2 linked regions of the Rhinolophus ferrumequinum genome follow. The protein of the gene in region 2 binds, or shares a complex with, the protein of the main gene of each other region. Links are inferred from orthologs where the notes say so. Each region holds a gene or a part of one and is shown on either strand. Other genes may lie near its edges.

Evidence for each region.
Region 1: the proteins of NDE1 (region 2) and RAB9A are in contact, whole or in part, in a crystal structure (PDB 7E1T), measured with the Homo sapiens proteins. The link is inferred for Rhinolophus ferrumequinum from reciprocal best matches to the Homo sapiens genes NDE1 and RAB9A. Residues at the interface, in NP_001137451.1 of Homo sapiens: Asp99, Gln102, Thr103, Ala105, Ile106, Gln109, Leu110, Tyr113; in NP_001182257.1 of Homo sapiens: Ile40, Val42, Phe44, Asn46, Gln59, Trp61, Arg68, Phe69, Ser71, Leu72, Pro75, Phe76.

The regions. Positions count from the first base shown.
Region 1 is NC_046284.1:116,493,166-116,500,658, forward strand, and holds the start of RAB9A (ras-related protein Rab-9A), read right to left. Parts: upstream 3,481-7,493; 5' UTR 3,302-3,480; intron 1-3,301. UniProt on the Homo sapiens protein: The small GTPases Rab are key regulators of intracellular membrane trafficking, from the formation of transport vesicles to their fusion with membranes.
Region 2 is NW_022680357.1:13,404,491-13,411,832, reverse strand, and holds the start of NDE1 (nuclear distribution protein nudE homolog 1), read right to left. Parts: upstream 3,372-7,342; 5' UTR 3,165-3,371; intron 1,613-3,164; 5' UTR 1,573-1,612; intron 1-1,572. Other genes in the region: MARF1 (meiosis regulator and mRNA stability factor 1), read left to right, coding at 7,057-7,200. UniProt on the Homo sapiens protein: Required for centrosome duplication and formation and function of the mitotic spindle. Essential for the development of the cerebral cortex.

The DNA.
Region 1 (7,493 bases), on a different chromosome or scaffold from region 2:
ACCTACCTAACTTTCAAGTGAGCAGTGTTTCCCAAACACACACACACACCCCCATTTGACATATTTCCTTCTGCTGCTTAACCAGCAAATTGCCTGGGGCAGAACTACTTAGAAGCCAATAATTTGATGTCTCTACTTGGTGTCATATAATCTCATAGAAATTTTAAAAGTACAACTGTCTCATTTTACAAAGAAAGAAATGTGGTGACCTAACTTGGCCAGAGTGGCAAGCCAACTACAGATGGAGTAAGACTCCTCTGAGGCCAGTGATGTTCTTCCTGCACCCATTCCTCTTGCCCCTTCCCAGAATAAAACCCCTCCAGTAAGAAAAGAACACACTTTCCTTCCTTGGATCCCAAGCCATAGTGATCATTTTAAACTGTATAATTCAGAATACCCCCTACCCCACGCAGACAACTCCTGATATGAGGCAGAGAAATCTAGTCATTGGCAAAGAACACACTGTCCATTAGCATGAGTCAAAAAGCAAAGCTACCCACAAAGATTCCTAAAAACAGAACCAGCCCTTTTGACTCCTCTCAGTCACTCCCAAAGTTCAGCTAAAAGTTACACTTGCCACCAGAATGAAGCAGTACATATATTGAAAGGCCTAGTCTTAGACAGGCCTGGTGAAAACAGGCTGGAAAATGCAAGAAAAGAAAATGACACAAAAGTCTTTCTTTAAAAAAATGTCATCATTTATTTCTTGATTTCAATGATAAAACGCATGCATAACTACCGTCTACTGAGGCTAAATTTAAGGAAGAGGTTTATGCTCAACAAGAATGGCTACTCAATTTGATTGTTAAATATTCACATGTGGTCAAACTACAAAGCTATCAAAAGGGCAGCAACTTCTCATTTCACCTAAGTCTGCCCACAGTAAATGCCATGTTGTACCTGTGTGTGTGCCCGTTTTGTTTGTGTGTATTTTTTTTTTTTAATGACACCTGGTGCCTGACCTTGAGTAGCCCAGGCAGTAAATTTTGTTCTAGGACAAAGTCAGAACCTGATCTTATGATTGTAATTAGACTGGAAGCTCCTACTGCCCTCCAAATCACCAGCACCTTTGTATAAGTGCCTGACAGGCTACTCAGAAAATGTCTGTTGACAATTCGAATAATACAGAAACCAAACTCCCTAAGTCTACTTCAAGGGATCTGAATGGCTCTCAAGTTTTTTGGGGTTTTTTTTGACACTTTTGCCCTAAGAAAAAAAGGATTCTGTTATCAGAAAATTATCTTCTCAGTCCTTAATCTTTCAAATGAATGAATATGCTTCTTAGTCAAGGGAAATCTCAAGTTCTCAAATTTACCCCTGCTCTTAAAATAATGAGGAAGAATCCTAAATAGGAAAACAACATTGCATTTGAACTAGAGAAGCACTAAAATGTGAGCTCTGAAGTTACTCGGACTGCTGTAAAGTAGGGTTTCTCAATCCCCGCACTAGTGACATTTTGGGCCAGACAACTCTTTGTTGTGGGGGGCTGTCCTGTGCATTTTAAGTCATTGAGCAGATCTCTGGCCTCTACCCACTAGAAGCCAGCAGCACTCACTCTCAGGTGTGAACCAAAAATGCCTGCTGACATTATCAAAAGTCCCCTGCTTTGAATCCTGGTCTGCCCTGTGTGACTATGGGAAACAGACTGAACCCTCCTGTGCCCCAGCAAATTCCTCATCTGTAAAATGGACTAATGCCTCAGAAATGCTGTGAAAATTAAATAAAATTATGTATGTACAGGATTTACATGGACAGAACATCCAGTGCCAGTGTAGCTGCCCAAGAAATGGTTAAGATATTAGGGGAGGCTAAAAATGAACTTCTAAAACCAAACGAACTTAATTTCAGGCCACCAGAGTACTGTAGCCTACACGGTTAGAAGCAGCTGAGATAGAAAGAGAAAAGAAGAAGTAGGAAAAGAGGGAACAGCACTCAAGTATCTCCCTGATCTCCAAGAACCCAGCTTGGAATCAAGGCCAAAGATGTTCTACTTAGGTTTCACTGGTCCACTCCAACCTCACAAATGATAAGCCAAAAATATCCTCACATCACAAAACTCTCCAAAATAAATGTCATCAAGCCAGAAACATTTTAGTATAAGCAAGAGAAATGTACTACAATGTCTACACAAAGACACTGAAAGCACCAGACTGCCCCCCCCACCATTGTCTTAGATTTGGGAATCTAAGATACTAAGAGTTCTGGACAAGCCGTTGTAACTTCAACATAAGCTTCTAAAAGAAAAATTAAGAACAGTCTCTTAAACACCCCTGACTGAAGAGTTCTGGGTTTCCTTCATCTCTACAGTTTTGCTCCACTGACCAGTTTTTGAGATTACAGGCAATTTAGGGATTTTTCCATAACCATGGTGCCAGAGACTGAAGGATAAACAAGTAAAAAAAATGTTTTTTAATTTTAAAAAAGCAATCAGATTCTGTCCATTGCTTTCATCAGGACGCTGAAATCCTATAAAACGAATGTGGTCACGTGACAATTTGCAAACTAGCAGAAAAGTCATTCCTCAAAAGAACCGTGGTCACGGGATGTGTCATCACTTAAAAAGAAACAACAAAACTAACACCTCCACAACGACTTGGTCAGCACTTAAAATTCTCATCTTGCCTCTTTACATAGTTAAGTTGGAAGAAAGGAAGGAACGCGCGATTCGGAAACATTAGCCAGCCTGAATCAGGTAACGCCCCAAACCTCCTCCAGCCCCCAGGACTGGCTGTACATTCCCAACCCCTCACCCGAGTGCTCGTAACACATTAGCAAGGGTCCACCGAGGGAGCGAGTCAGAAGTCGCCAACATCAACTCGTGCCTTTGCTTTCTCTACAGGAACCACTCGGGGGCGGGTTTGGTCTGGGTGGGCTGGGGTGTGTGGGTGTGTGCCCCGAGTGGTTGGGGGAAAGGCTGGTGTATGTGTCTGTCCCCGGGGGTTGTGCGTGTGCCTCTCTCCCTCCCGGGATTGTGTATATGTATCTCCCTCCCTGGGTGTTTGGGGGTGTGTGTCCCTCCCCGGTGTGTGCGTGTGGGAACCCGTCTTTCCTGCGTCAGTCAGGAGGAGGTAGGGGGGCAACAAGCCGTCCCCCTCCCGGGGCCGGCGAGTGGCCCGCGCAGGCCCCGCGTGCACCCCGCCCAGCTAGCTGCCCGAGGCCCAGGCATTACCCGCCGCCCGCGCGTTCACCTCAGACCCCGAAGCCAGCGGACCCAGCCCCGGCCCCGGCCCCGGCCCCGGCCCCGGCCTCCGGCCCCAGCACCTGGCCCCCGGCCAAGCCCGAGAGTCCGAGCCCCGCTCACCTCGCGGCCACACGGCGGACGTCCGGGAGCTCCGGGCTAGCCGGTCCAGGTGCAATGAGGAAACAGAGAGGGTCGGGGTTTCTGCGGGATGGACAAGGTAGCAGCGCAGCCCGAATGCAACTCCGGCTGCTCCCGCCTAGCGCTGAGGCAACAATATGGCGACGGGCAGGGGCGGGCCCTGGAGGTGGTGCGGGGCCTGGGAGGTGGTGCGGGGCCTGGGACGCGGGGCGGGGCCTGGGACGCGGGGCGGGGCCTGGGACGCGGGGCGGGGCCCGGGTAATTGGGGTCTCGAGGTGGCTGTCTGCCCCTGCCTCGCCCAATCCCCGACTGCTGTTCCTTGCTAAACCAAGGTCTTTCTTGCGGCCGGCTCTCCCTCGTGTCCTCCGGCTGCCTTCCGGTGAGAGAGGGCACGACATAATACTTATTATCTTTGTTTACGTAAACTGGGAAGAAACCCATCGCGTAAGCACAAACACAGGATGTTGTGATTACGATGAGAAAGCGAATGCGCAAAAAGCAAACCGGTAGATGAAAAATGAAAACAGCTGTGATTTGAGGACTAAAAGAATTAAATTTAAAAATTTTTCTTATTCAGAATTGTACACCTGGAATCTATGTAATTTTACTAACAATTGTCACCCCAATAAATTAAAAAAAATTTTTCTTGTTACAATACTGGCTCTGTTATCTAAATATAAAGCAGTAATGGGAAAAGGCGGTATTGGGGAAGCTATTTTTTTTTTTAAAGATTTTATTGGGGAAGGGGAACAGGACTTTATTGGGGAACAGTGTGTACTTCCAGGACTTTTTTTTTTTTCCAAGTCAAGTTGTCCTTTCAATCTTAGTTGTGGAGGGTGCTGTTCAGCTTCAAGTTGTCCTTTCAATCTTAGTTGTGGAGGGCGCAGCTCAGCTCCAGGTCCAGCTGCTGTTGCTAGTTGCAGGGGGCGCAGCCCACCATCCCTTGCAGGACTCGAGGAATCGAACTGGCAACCTTGTGGTTGAGAGGATGCACTCCAACCAACTGAGCCATCCGGGAGCTCAGCGGCAGCTCAGCTCAAGGTGCCTTGTTCAATTTTAGTTATAGGGGGCGCTGCCCACCATCCCTTGCGGGAGTCGAGGAATTGAACTGGCAGCCTTGTAGTTGAGAGCCTATTGGCCCATGTGGGAATCGAATCGGCAGCCTTCAGAGTTAGGAGCACAGAGCTCTAACCGCCTGAGCCACCGGGCCGGCCCCATGGGGAAGCTATTCTTAATTACTGATACGGAGTTGAGTGCCTGGGTCTTCCGATACAAGACCCCTGGAGACCGAAGGGGCTTTTAGTAACCTCAATATATTTTGTGGGGTACATTTAGTTTGTTTATTTTCCAAGAGAAAGATCTCACGTTTATGAGTTGCTAGGTAATCATCATTAAATAACCTCTGGCTCTTCAGGGAGTCATTTTCAGGTAATGAATCCAATGCAGTCTTTTCATTCAGCACTGGAAAGGTTATGTTTGAGTTTCTCGCAAATATAAAAGACAGTTTTAGAATACTTGTGAAAATTAGGCATGTAAAAAAGATTGAGTTCTAGTTTGAGTTTAAATGAATTTTTCTTTTATCCATGCAGGATATTTCCCCAAGGAAATATGAGTAAAGGTTTATAAAATACAGATCTGTTGAAAATAAGGAGGGGGAAGAGATATCCATTATCTAATTTTAAAACACATAATAATTAAAATTACACAATAAAACATATAAGAACATTACAGTGAATTTTCCAAAAGAAAAAAAATACATAGTGTCATGTACATAGAACTAAAATGCAACAAGCAATGCCCAGGGTCACTAAGGAAAAGCCACCTGAAAATTGTATCTCAATCATAATCAAACAGTGATGGAATAGGAATTGATCTCTTCAACTGCTAATACAAACCAGCTATTAACAAGTGCTCTTACAAAATTATTGTATCTTGGCTTAAAGTAAGCCTTGAGAAATCCAAGAGTTTTCAAAAACAGGTTCTTAGAAGGTCCTACAAGTGATTCTTAGGCTGTTCCAAAATGTAAGCGAAGCATGCAAACATATCTGAGTGTAGCTTATAGTCAGCACCTGAAGAAAGAATAAGGAAAGTTACTTTTTCTGAGATATTACTTGGTCACTAGCCAACTGACACTTAAGAATATTCATATATTCTGTCTGGTCTCTTCCACCATTCACTTCTTTACCTAACTGATCTGACAGTGCAAGAGTAGTTTGGGTCAAAAGGTTTTTCCCTAAAGGGCAAGTTTGGGGGATTTTTATTGTGGAATGTGTGTGGTTGGCAAGCTGACACAAGTGAGATAGATGGTCTCTATCTCCCTTCCTCCATGAACTTGTTTACTGATGAAACCATTGAAGAACTGACCTAGTTTGACTCCCTTCATCTAATTAGGACTTTTTGTCTTTATGTTCTGTAAACATCTAAAGCATCACTCATGAAGGAAAAAGAGGTTAAGGTTGCTAGGCATTAATGATTCCTTAAATGACATCTATTCATTTAGTACTATGAGCAGTGGGAGTCAATACTCCATTTCAAGCTGGAGTCTGAAAGACATCACCTCTGGTACCTCTGATGAAAAGCTACAAGTGGGCTCCAGACTCAAGTATAATAAATACTTATTATAATTAAATTGATTACAGGCATACCTCGTTTTATTGGGCTTCACTTTATTGTGCTTCACAGATGTTGTGTGTTTTACGAATTGAATGTAAGACCCCCTCCCCCAGCAAAAAGATTACGTCTCGCTTTATTGTAATACTCGCTTTCTCATGGTCTGGAACCGAACCTGAAATATCTCCAGGCGTATCTGTATACTTTTTACATACAAGGAAAAACACAGAACTCAATGGTAGGCAATTTGACCATTACATGACATATTTAAATCATCAGAAATTTGATATTTTTCCCAAGTCATTGGCCAAAATAGAGATTTGTCCTCAATATTGCATAGATGTTCTTGTATAGCTATACTAAGAAGGGAGAAAAGCATAAAATGTAATTCAGAATCCATTATATTTTACTTTAAGGGAAAGTCAGAGTGAAACTAGATAACAACATATAATATTAAGTGAAAAAACATTACCAAATAATATGTGGAGGAAAATCCCAATTTGGGGGAGGAAACATTTCTCGTATAACTTTTCAATATACCGGGGGTACCACAAAAATGTATACACATTTTAAGAGATGTTATCTATGTATTACTTTTCGAAGTTGAATTGAATTACGTAGCAATGTGTAGTATGACGTTCGCTCAAAAGATGGCGTGAATCAAATGAATGCTAGCATCATTCATTGTAGTATAATTTTAATAGTTTTTTCCTTAAAATGTGTATACAGGGTCGGCCGGATGGCTCAGTTGGTTAGAGCACAAGCTCTTAACAAGGTTGCCAGTTCAATTCCCGCATGGGATGGTGGGCTGCGCCCCCTGCAACTAAGATTGAAAACGGTGACTGGACTTGGAGCTGAGCTGCGCCCTCCACAACTGGATTGAAGGACAACGACTTGGAATTGATGGGCCCTGGAGAAACACACTGTTCTCCAATAAAAAAAAATTTTTTTTAAATGTGTATACATTTTTTGGGAACCCTCTGTATATTGAAATATTTATCTAATATATTTATTTATATGTATTTACATATTTATATAATATATACATTTTCAGTATTTCAAATCAATATCACATTCTTCCAGTTTGCCTAGAAACTAAATTCAGCATGTTTCTTACATTAATGCAGAACTATTGATCCCAATCCTTAGGTCAGATAAAATTTCAGTATATGAGGAAATACCAGAAATCTGATTTCTTCACTGCGTAGCTTAAAAAGGAGTACTGAATCAAAAAGTGAATGGTAGCATCATCCTTAATCTATATATCATCAATGAGCAAATTGCGTAATTTGCAATCTTTAGATTGATGCGATCAAATGCAAAGTCTGACCCACATCCATGATAGATCATATACTCTTGCATGGGTCCAGTGGTTGATGATGAATGGCCACCTGGGAATCCAAAGCCACTGCCATGCTTCCTTCCATCAGTCTGCCCACTGTCAGGAGATGGAGCATGGAGTCAGGAGCTAACACAACCGGCCCCTCCCAAATGTGTGGGTAACCACCATAGCAGCCCACACTTTGCCATTGCCTGCAGCATAGACTCACGTTTATTCTGTCTC
Region 2 (7,342 bases):
TGCAGAGGAGAAATGAGTTAACTTGGCATTTGTAAAACAGTGCCTGACCCATAGTTAGGTAATTACGTATTTGTTAAGTGATCGTGATTTTTTTAATTGATTATATATCAGGCACAATGCTAACCTCTTGACATGGCTTTTCTCATTTAATTCTCACAGCAATCTTAAATGTTCACCAAGCATTTATTGAGCGTTCATGCTTATAACAAAATAAATGTCAGACAAGATGCCTGTCCTCAAAGAGCTTACAGTATTAACACAGAAACGCACTAAACCAGCAAACAAAAAGTTAAAACGATTTTCAGACTTCAATAAGTGCTATGAATAAAAGCAAGGTCCTGTGTTAGAAAGGGGCTGGGGAGGAGTCACTTCAGAGAAAATAGTCAGGGAAGGCCACTCTAGGAAATGACAACAGAGCTGAGACCAAAATGATGAGAACCACAGGAAAGCACTTTTATTGTCCTCATTTGAAAGCAGAGAAAACTAAGGTGCGGGAAGTTGAATGCATTGCCCAAGGTCTTATTTCTTAAATCAGGCTTTAAAGCTGGGTCGGCTTGAGTTCTCCACACGTGTTCTTCAGCACTTAACCTCGACACACAGGGATCTCAGCTACTCAGGATTTCAACCATACTCAGAATCCCTGCTGCCTCCCTGCCAAGATTAAGAATGACTTTTCTCTAATTCTACTTTGACTCTTTGCTAGTTCCTGAAGCTCAAAGACGCAAAAGGGAACCACCACCTACATCAACAGTTTTAAGGAAAGTACCCAAATGTCTTTCGGGAAACTTCCATCCGGGTCCCAGATACTAAACACTAATAAATCATTTGTATTCTCTTGACATTTTTGCTTTTATGCTTTCTTTCACTCCCGAATTTTATTGACCCTCACCATCCTGGGAGGTTTCTGGACCGGGAATTATCACCCAAGTTTACAGATGAACTGAAGCACGAATTGATGAGGTACCAGTCCTGACTAAATGACACAAGTCATTGAAACTAGTTGGTTTTTCAATTTCATTTTCCATTTGAAAAAGGGGAGAGGACATTGAAATGATTGTCGTTAAAATATTCTTCAGGAATAGGAGTTTAGGTAAATATCATTAGGTAAAACCTTAAAAACGAATGGGAAATTTTGGTACTTGAACACATTATCCTCTCTTTATTCAATTTAGTTTCCTTGTAGCATTCAGGTATGAATGAGCAAAGCTCGGTTTCTCTTAAATCCTTCTTTCATAACTTATCATTTCAAGACATTAAATCTAACCTAACATAGACAGAAGTTAATCGGGGAGAAACTCCTTTGGTGGCAGCCAGATTAATTTAGGAGCTGAATTGAATGTAAAGTAGCTGCTTAAACAGCACAAAAATCAATCTACATCCTGGTTTCATAAATATGAAGATTATAATTTGGATAAGGAAAATACTGAAACTTACTCTTACTCTCTGAGAAAAGAGTTTGCCCAGCAAAGAAATAGGAACAAGATTAACAGAGGCTATGCTTAAGAAAATATATCTTAAAAAGGTTAAAGCACTCTTTCATAAAGATCAAATTGTATTTTGATTCATAATTACCTGCTTCCAAGGGCTAGTGTACTCTGCTCAGGCTAGTTTTCTACAAAAAAAAAAAAAAAATTGCATTTCTTTAAAAATTATTTGTAATTTAGACTTTTCGTTTGCTTTCCATTTTGTATGATTGATTCATTTTCATTTACTGCATTTAACCTGTTGAGACCAGGCACAGCTCTGGACTTGAAAGAATGCCAAGCAAACTCAAACAAAATGTGTTTGCTCTTTCTTTATTAATGTTTTGTGGCTAAACCCTCTTTTTAAAAAAGCAATGAAAAAACCCACAATTATTTTGTTTCCTTTTTTATATTTTTAGTTACTGTGGTCTATGTTCAGAGATACTCCACTAGAAAAAAAAAAGAGAAAGAAAAACACCCCTAAAGAGAAGCACATTGGTTTGGTACTTTGGAAAAAAAAAAAAAACGCAAGAAACAGGGTTGCTTTTCCATCTGTTCTAATTCCCACTTGGAAAATCCTCCCCACACACAGATCCAATGAAGATTTACTCAGAAGTAATAAATACCTAAGCAAGCAGATGATGTGTGTGTACTTGTCATCTGCGTACTGGAAAATGTAATTCAATCACAAAGGATTCTTCAGCTACGTGTTTGATCTTGCCCTCCACAACACCTCTACAAGGATGTCTATAGGGATGGATTAGCTTCCCCTGAAATTCACCCCACTTACTGCAAATTGCCTGATGAAATTGCCTCACACTGCAGACTGCAGGGGGAAAAAAGTTCTTTGGGCCATCTCTAGTTGCTGACTCTTTGGCAAAGTGAACCTGTTTCTTGTCAAACTTCAGAAGTAAACTTTTCCATAGTATTCAGATAGCACATCCTAAACTATGTCTAGATTCACAGGTAGCTCTATATGCTTTGTTTGTCTCCTAATTTGCAACAGGAAATAGTGAGCAGCTGGCAGTTTCACAAATGATAATTGTGCCTAGTGAGTTAAAAAAAAAATTGTTGTGTATTTTCTTAATTTTAGGTAAAAGTAGATTGTGAGGCAAAGAAAAACAAAACAAAACAAAACCCAAACGTGGCATATCTATCCACCTAAAATAAAAGCTGTGCTTGGCTTCACAAGGCTTTTTCAATTATTAAGGTCTCCTTTCTGCTCGCCCAACCTGTCACTAGAAAAGTTGTGTTCTTTTTTAAGGAGCTTTGGAGCAGGGCTTTTAAAAATTAGTTTATCTTACAAAAGACACGAGGACCTCTTAATTGTCGGTGACAACATCCAGCCTCGTCTTAGTTCTCCCACTTTATCTTTGCCAGCTGGGTCGTAACTATGCGAGAAACCCTGAGGGCCGGAAGGACCTGGCGGTCAGCTCAGTTGGCAGTTTTTTTTTTCTCCACTCGCCACTAGGTTGCACTAGATTAAGGATGGTGTGGAAAACATGCGTCATTTAATTAAAAAAAAAAAAAGAATCACGTGACAAGATGTGTGTGTGTGTGTGTGTGTGTGTGTGTGTGTGTGTGTGACAGAGAGAGAGACAGAGAGACAGACAGAGAGAGGAGAAAGGCAAAACGATGGTTTTTCATCGACATCCCGTTTAAGTCGCTTTCCCTCAAAAGATCGAAAGAACTGAATTGTACCAAATCCTGGTTGGCAGGTTTTTCCCCGGGTTCCACCTCACAAGCTCCCGAATTCTCCGCTTTCAGGTTCCTTTCCACTCCACAACTATAAGCCAGGAGGAAGACCTTCTTAAACTTGGGGGTTCTGCCAAAAAAGCCGGGGTCGCCCCCCGGGAAGGTCCCTATTTAGGGGTTTATCGGGAGGGGACTGAGCCTGACGAGGCTGCAGGGCCGCGAGGCCCCGCCCCCCCCGGGTTCCCAGCACGCCCCGCGCGGGGAGGACGCGGCGGCGGGGGAGGGGTGGAGGAAGGGGCGGGGCGAGAGGGAGAGAAGGGCGTCGGTTTTGCGACAGGGGTGGTGCGGTGCGGAAGCGGAAGTTGAGGGTGCGCTTGGCGGCGGCGGCGGGAGCGGCGGAGTCGGGAATCAAAACAAAGGGCCTGGGGGGGCGGGGGGAAGGCGGTGGGGCCGGAATGTGAGCCGAGGTGGAGCTGGCGGCTGAGGTGAGTGTGCTGGCAGCTCTGGGAACTAGTTCTTGAATGGCCCACTGCTCTGGGACCGCCAGGCTGTCGGGGAGACAGTGCCCCCCCTTCCTCTGCCTATTGCTGGAGGGGGTAGGGGAGGTTGACCAGTCCTAGGGGAAGGACTGGGGCCAACCAGTCAGGCTCCCACTAAAGGTTCAGGTTGTCTCCCTTTCACGTCCGCTCAAGACTGTGACTGCTGCGCCCCTGCTGCCTTTTTTGGGAGGTGGGGTGTTTGGCTCGCCGTCCGCACCTGTCTCCCTGCTCCCTGTGGGCCCTCCCGGTGTGGAAAGCACAATTGGAAGGTTAAGAGAGGAAGACGGGGCGGGTGCTTTTGCACCCCCGCTGAGCTTTTTGCATCCTCAGTTTTCCAGCACTCTACGGTGTAGCGTCTGGTTTGACAGATAGTGTTGAGTTTTCGTAGGGGTTAAGCCACTCCCACTACTAATTGTAACGCGACACCTTGATACCTTTTAAGAGTTTCCCAAGCACCTTTGTGGTATTACCGAGAGCTTTCCAGTTACATTTGTGTCTTTTGGACTTCCCAACATCTTTGAAAGGTAAAAATTGAAACCTAATTTAAATGGTCTTACTAGATATTTATTGAACTCTTCATTCGTTCAACAATTATTGATAAGTGCCAGGCACTGTGCTAGAGGCAGGGGATACAAAAATGAGTAAGAGCAAATGATCCCTGATGTCACGGAGTTTATATTCAAGTGGGGGAAGCAGATAATAAAAAACAAGCAAATAAACAAGATAATTTTAGATAAAAGAGCTGTGAGGTGGGATGTGGTGGGGTAGCCTTTGAGGACTAGATTGGGTGTTAAGAGGAGGCCACTGCTAAAGTTTCTACTTCGATTATCTCTTTTAATCCAAGCAACAGCCCTATAAGGGTGCTACTGTTGTTATCAGGCCCATTTTACAGATGGGAACTGAGGTTGGGAGAGTTTGTGAGTTATCCAAAGCTGCACAGATAGGAAGCGGCAGAAATGGGGATCAACAGGCAAGCCAGTCTGACTTCAGAGTCTGCTCTCAACCATTAATTGCTCAAAGACTGAGAGATGATGGCAGAAGTAAGACTTCCACTCAAACCAAACTCGCTTTGGCTACCTAAGTCCCTTAGTGGCATTCCCAGGAATGTTTGGGAAAATTTTCCAGGTGCAGGTCACTAACAAGTTAATAGTACATTTATTTGTACTTTCTGTTAACTGTTGAGCAATAGTGAAGTCACCTTGGTGTGGTAGAAAGAGGTGGACAGACCTGGTTCTGCCTCCTTTCTAATTGTGTGATATGGGGCAAGTTACAAAACTCTGTTTCCTTCTCTGTTTAAGATGTGGCCAGTTGCTCTCTTGTCTATCTCAGATTTACTGTGGAAAAAAAGTTACATAAAATGGATATCATTGTCTGGTCATTTTCATCATTGTATCCCTGTGCCAAGCACAGGCCTGCCACATAGTTGATACTAAGTAAACATTTGCTGAATTTATAAGTGTTAAAGAACAATGTTTAGTAAACTATATTGTACTCTACCTGTCAGCACACTTTCAGGATTGGCCTTGAAGAGGTTTGCGAGAGCCTGTTGCACATCACAAATTCTCATGATCTAGAAGAGATTGTGGGGAGATATAAGACCTGTATTTAATAGGAAAAACAAGTACCATGATTTATTAACATTGTGGCAGTAAACTCCATCTGTGTATCCCAATTAACTCCTAACTGTATACTCCTATACTAGGTAAACAGCTTTATTCATTCCCTTATCAGCAAATATTTACTTAGTCTCTTCTAAGTAGCCAGGCCCTGTGCTTGGCACAGGCAATACAGTGGTGAAAACAAACAGGTGGTCGGCTCCTTTATCTAAGTTTTTTTCCCCTCTCAATAATGTTGTGAGAGGGGACAGGAGAAGAATCAGCCACACTTTCCAGAGGAAGAAACCAACATTTAATGAAGTTTTGTGGCTTCAGCATAAGGGCCAAATAGTAAATATTTTAGGCTTTGTGGACCATGTAAGTCTCTGTTGCAAATACTCTGCTCTGTAATTGTAGTGCAAAAACAAGCCACAGACAGTACTTAAAACAAGTGACTGTGGCCATGTCTTGATAAACTATTTATAGACACTGAAATTTGAATTTCATATAATCTTGTGTCATAAAACATTTTAATTTTTTTCTAATAATTTTTAAAAAATGTAAAATACATTCTTAGCTTGAAGGTCATTTAGGTACAAGCAGAGGGCTGGTTTTGCCCACCCCTGCTTTATACAATCAGCTCTTACATATATATATTCTTGCATGGTCATCTTGCCCCTCACCTTACTATGTGGACATTAAACCACTTGAAAACAGCATCTCATCAGAGAGATAACTAAAAGAAATTCTTTTCTAGAGGCCCAGAGTAAATTTCTGAAACATAAATTGATAACCTTAAGATGGCCACGGTAGGTAAGAGTGGGTGGTTGTTGGAAGACTTGGAAGTGGGATTCGGTTGTCCTTGCCCTTGGCAGGCTGCCTCCATGCCCAATGGCTATTATTGATTTGCTCTGCTCTTACTGTACTGTTTAAGTGTAGCTGCCTCGGAGTAGATACAGTACATCTGGGACTTGAGATTTCTCTGTTAGATTTGTGGTGGTATACCAGACTCCACTGTCATAATAAGTAAATAGAACTTGGTTTGATTTGTTCTGTAACACAATCAAATTCAAAGTCCACAGAGGTCACTTAGTTGAACCCTCTGTGCTCATGTCAAAGACACTGGGATAAGCTGCTCTTAAACCAATGTCAAAATCTTAACGTAATTGGTAATGAGGACATGTGGTTGTTCGTTGACCAAAATTACATCTTCTCTACTGTTAATATTTTTACTCTCACAAGTAGAGTCTTTAGGGAGAGAGAGTCGATAAGAATTAGGAAAAACTATAGCAAAAGTCAACTCAGGGCTGGAGGTTGGCTCCAGCCATGTGAAGAGGAGCGGTTACACTCAGGGATATGCAGGTGTCCAAGATTTGGCTACTTCTGTCAAGCATGGCTGTTTATAGAAAGAAATAGGTCTCATCCAGAGTTCCTTTCTATTTGAAGAACAATGGAACATGAGGAATGGAAGAGTATAGTTTTTTAAAAATGCGGTTGACACAGTTAGAGTTCAAACATAAACAGTCAACTAGGTTTACCAAATTTTAGTAACCTATAGTATGCTTTGATAGCCATTCTACTTTAGTTCCTTAAGATCTGACTTGTTGGGAGCCATTGCACCATAAATACAGTTGCAGACTCACATTTTAATAGTAAACTTTGTACTTATGCATATAACTAACAATGAAATCTCTCTTACTTAACAGGGTGGAAGAATGAAAGAAAAGAAAGATGAAAGCATGTTGAACCACTTTGTGTGGCTGTATGATGGAAGGAAACGGAACTGAGAACTCCTGCAGTAGAACACCTGGATGGCTTCAACAAGATAATGACGCTAAGCCATGGCTTTGGAAATTCTCTAATTGCTTTTCGGGTCCCGAGCAGACGTTGCCACTTAGTCCCCAAACGGTAACTATGTGCAAGACTAAGGACCTAGCAAGTTCCTAATGCAAATAGATGAGAGGTCCATTTGGTGCAGGGCGGTCTGTCTGCCTGGAGTCGGCTGAGTTTCCCCTCGTGTCCTGCTTATATGACTCCTTATTGCACAGTA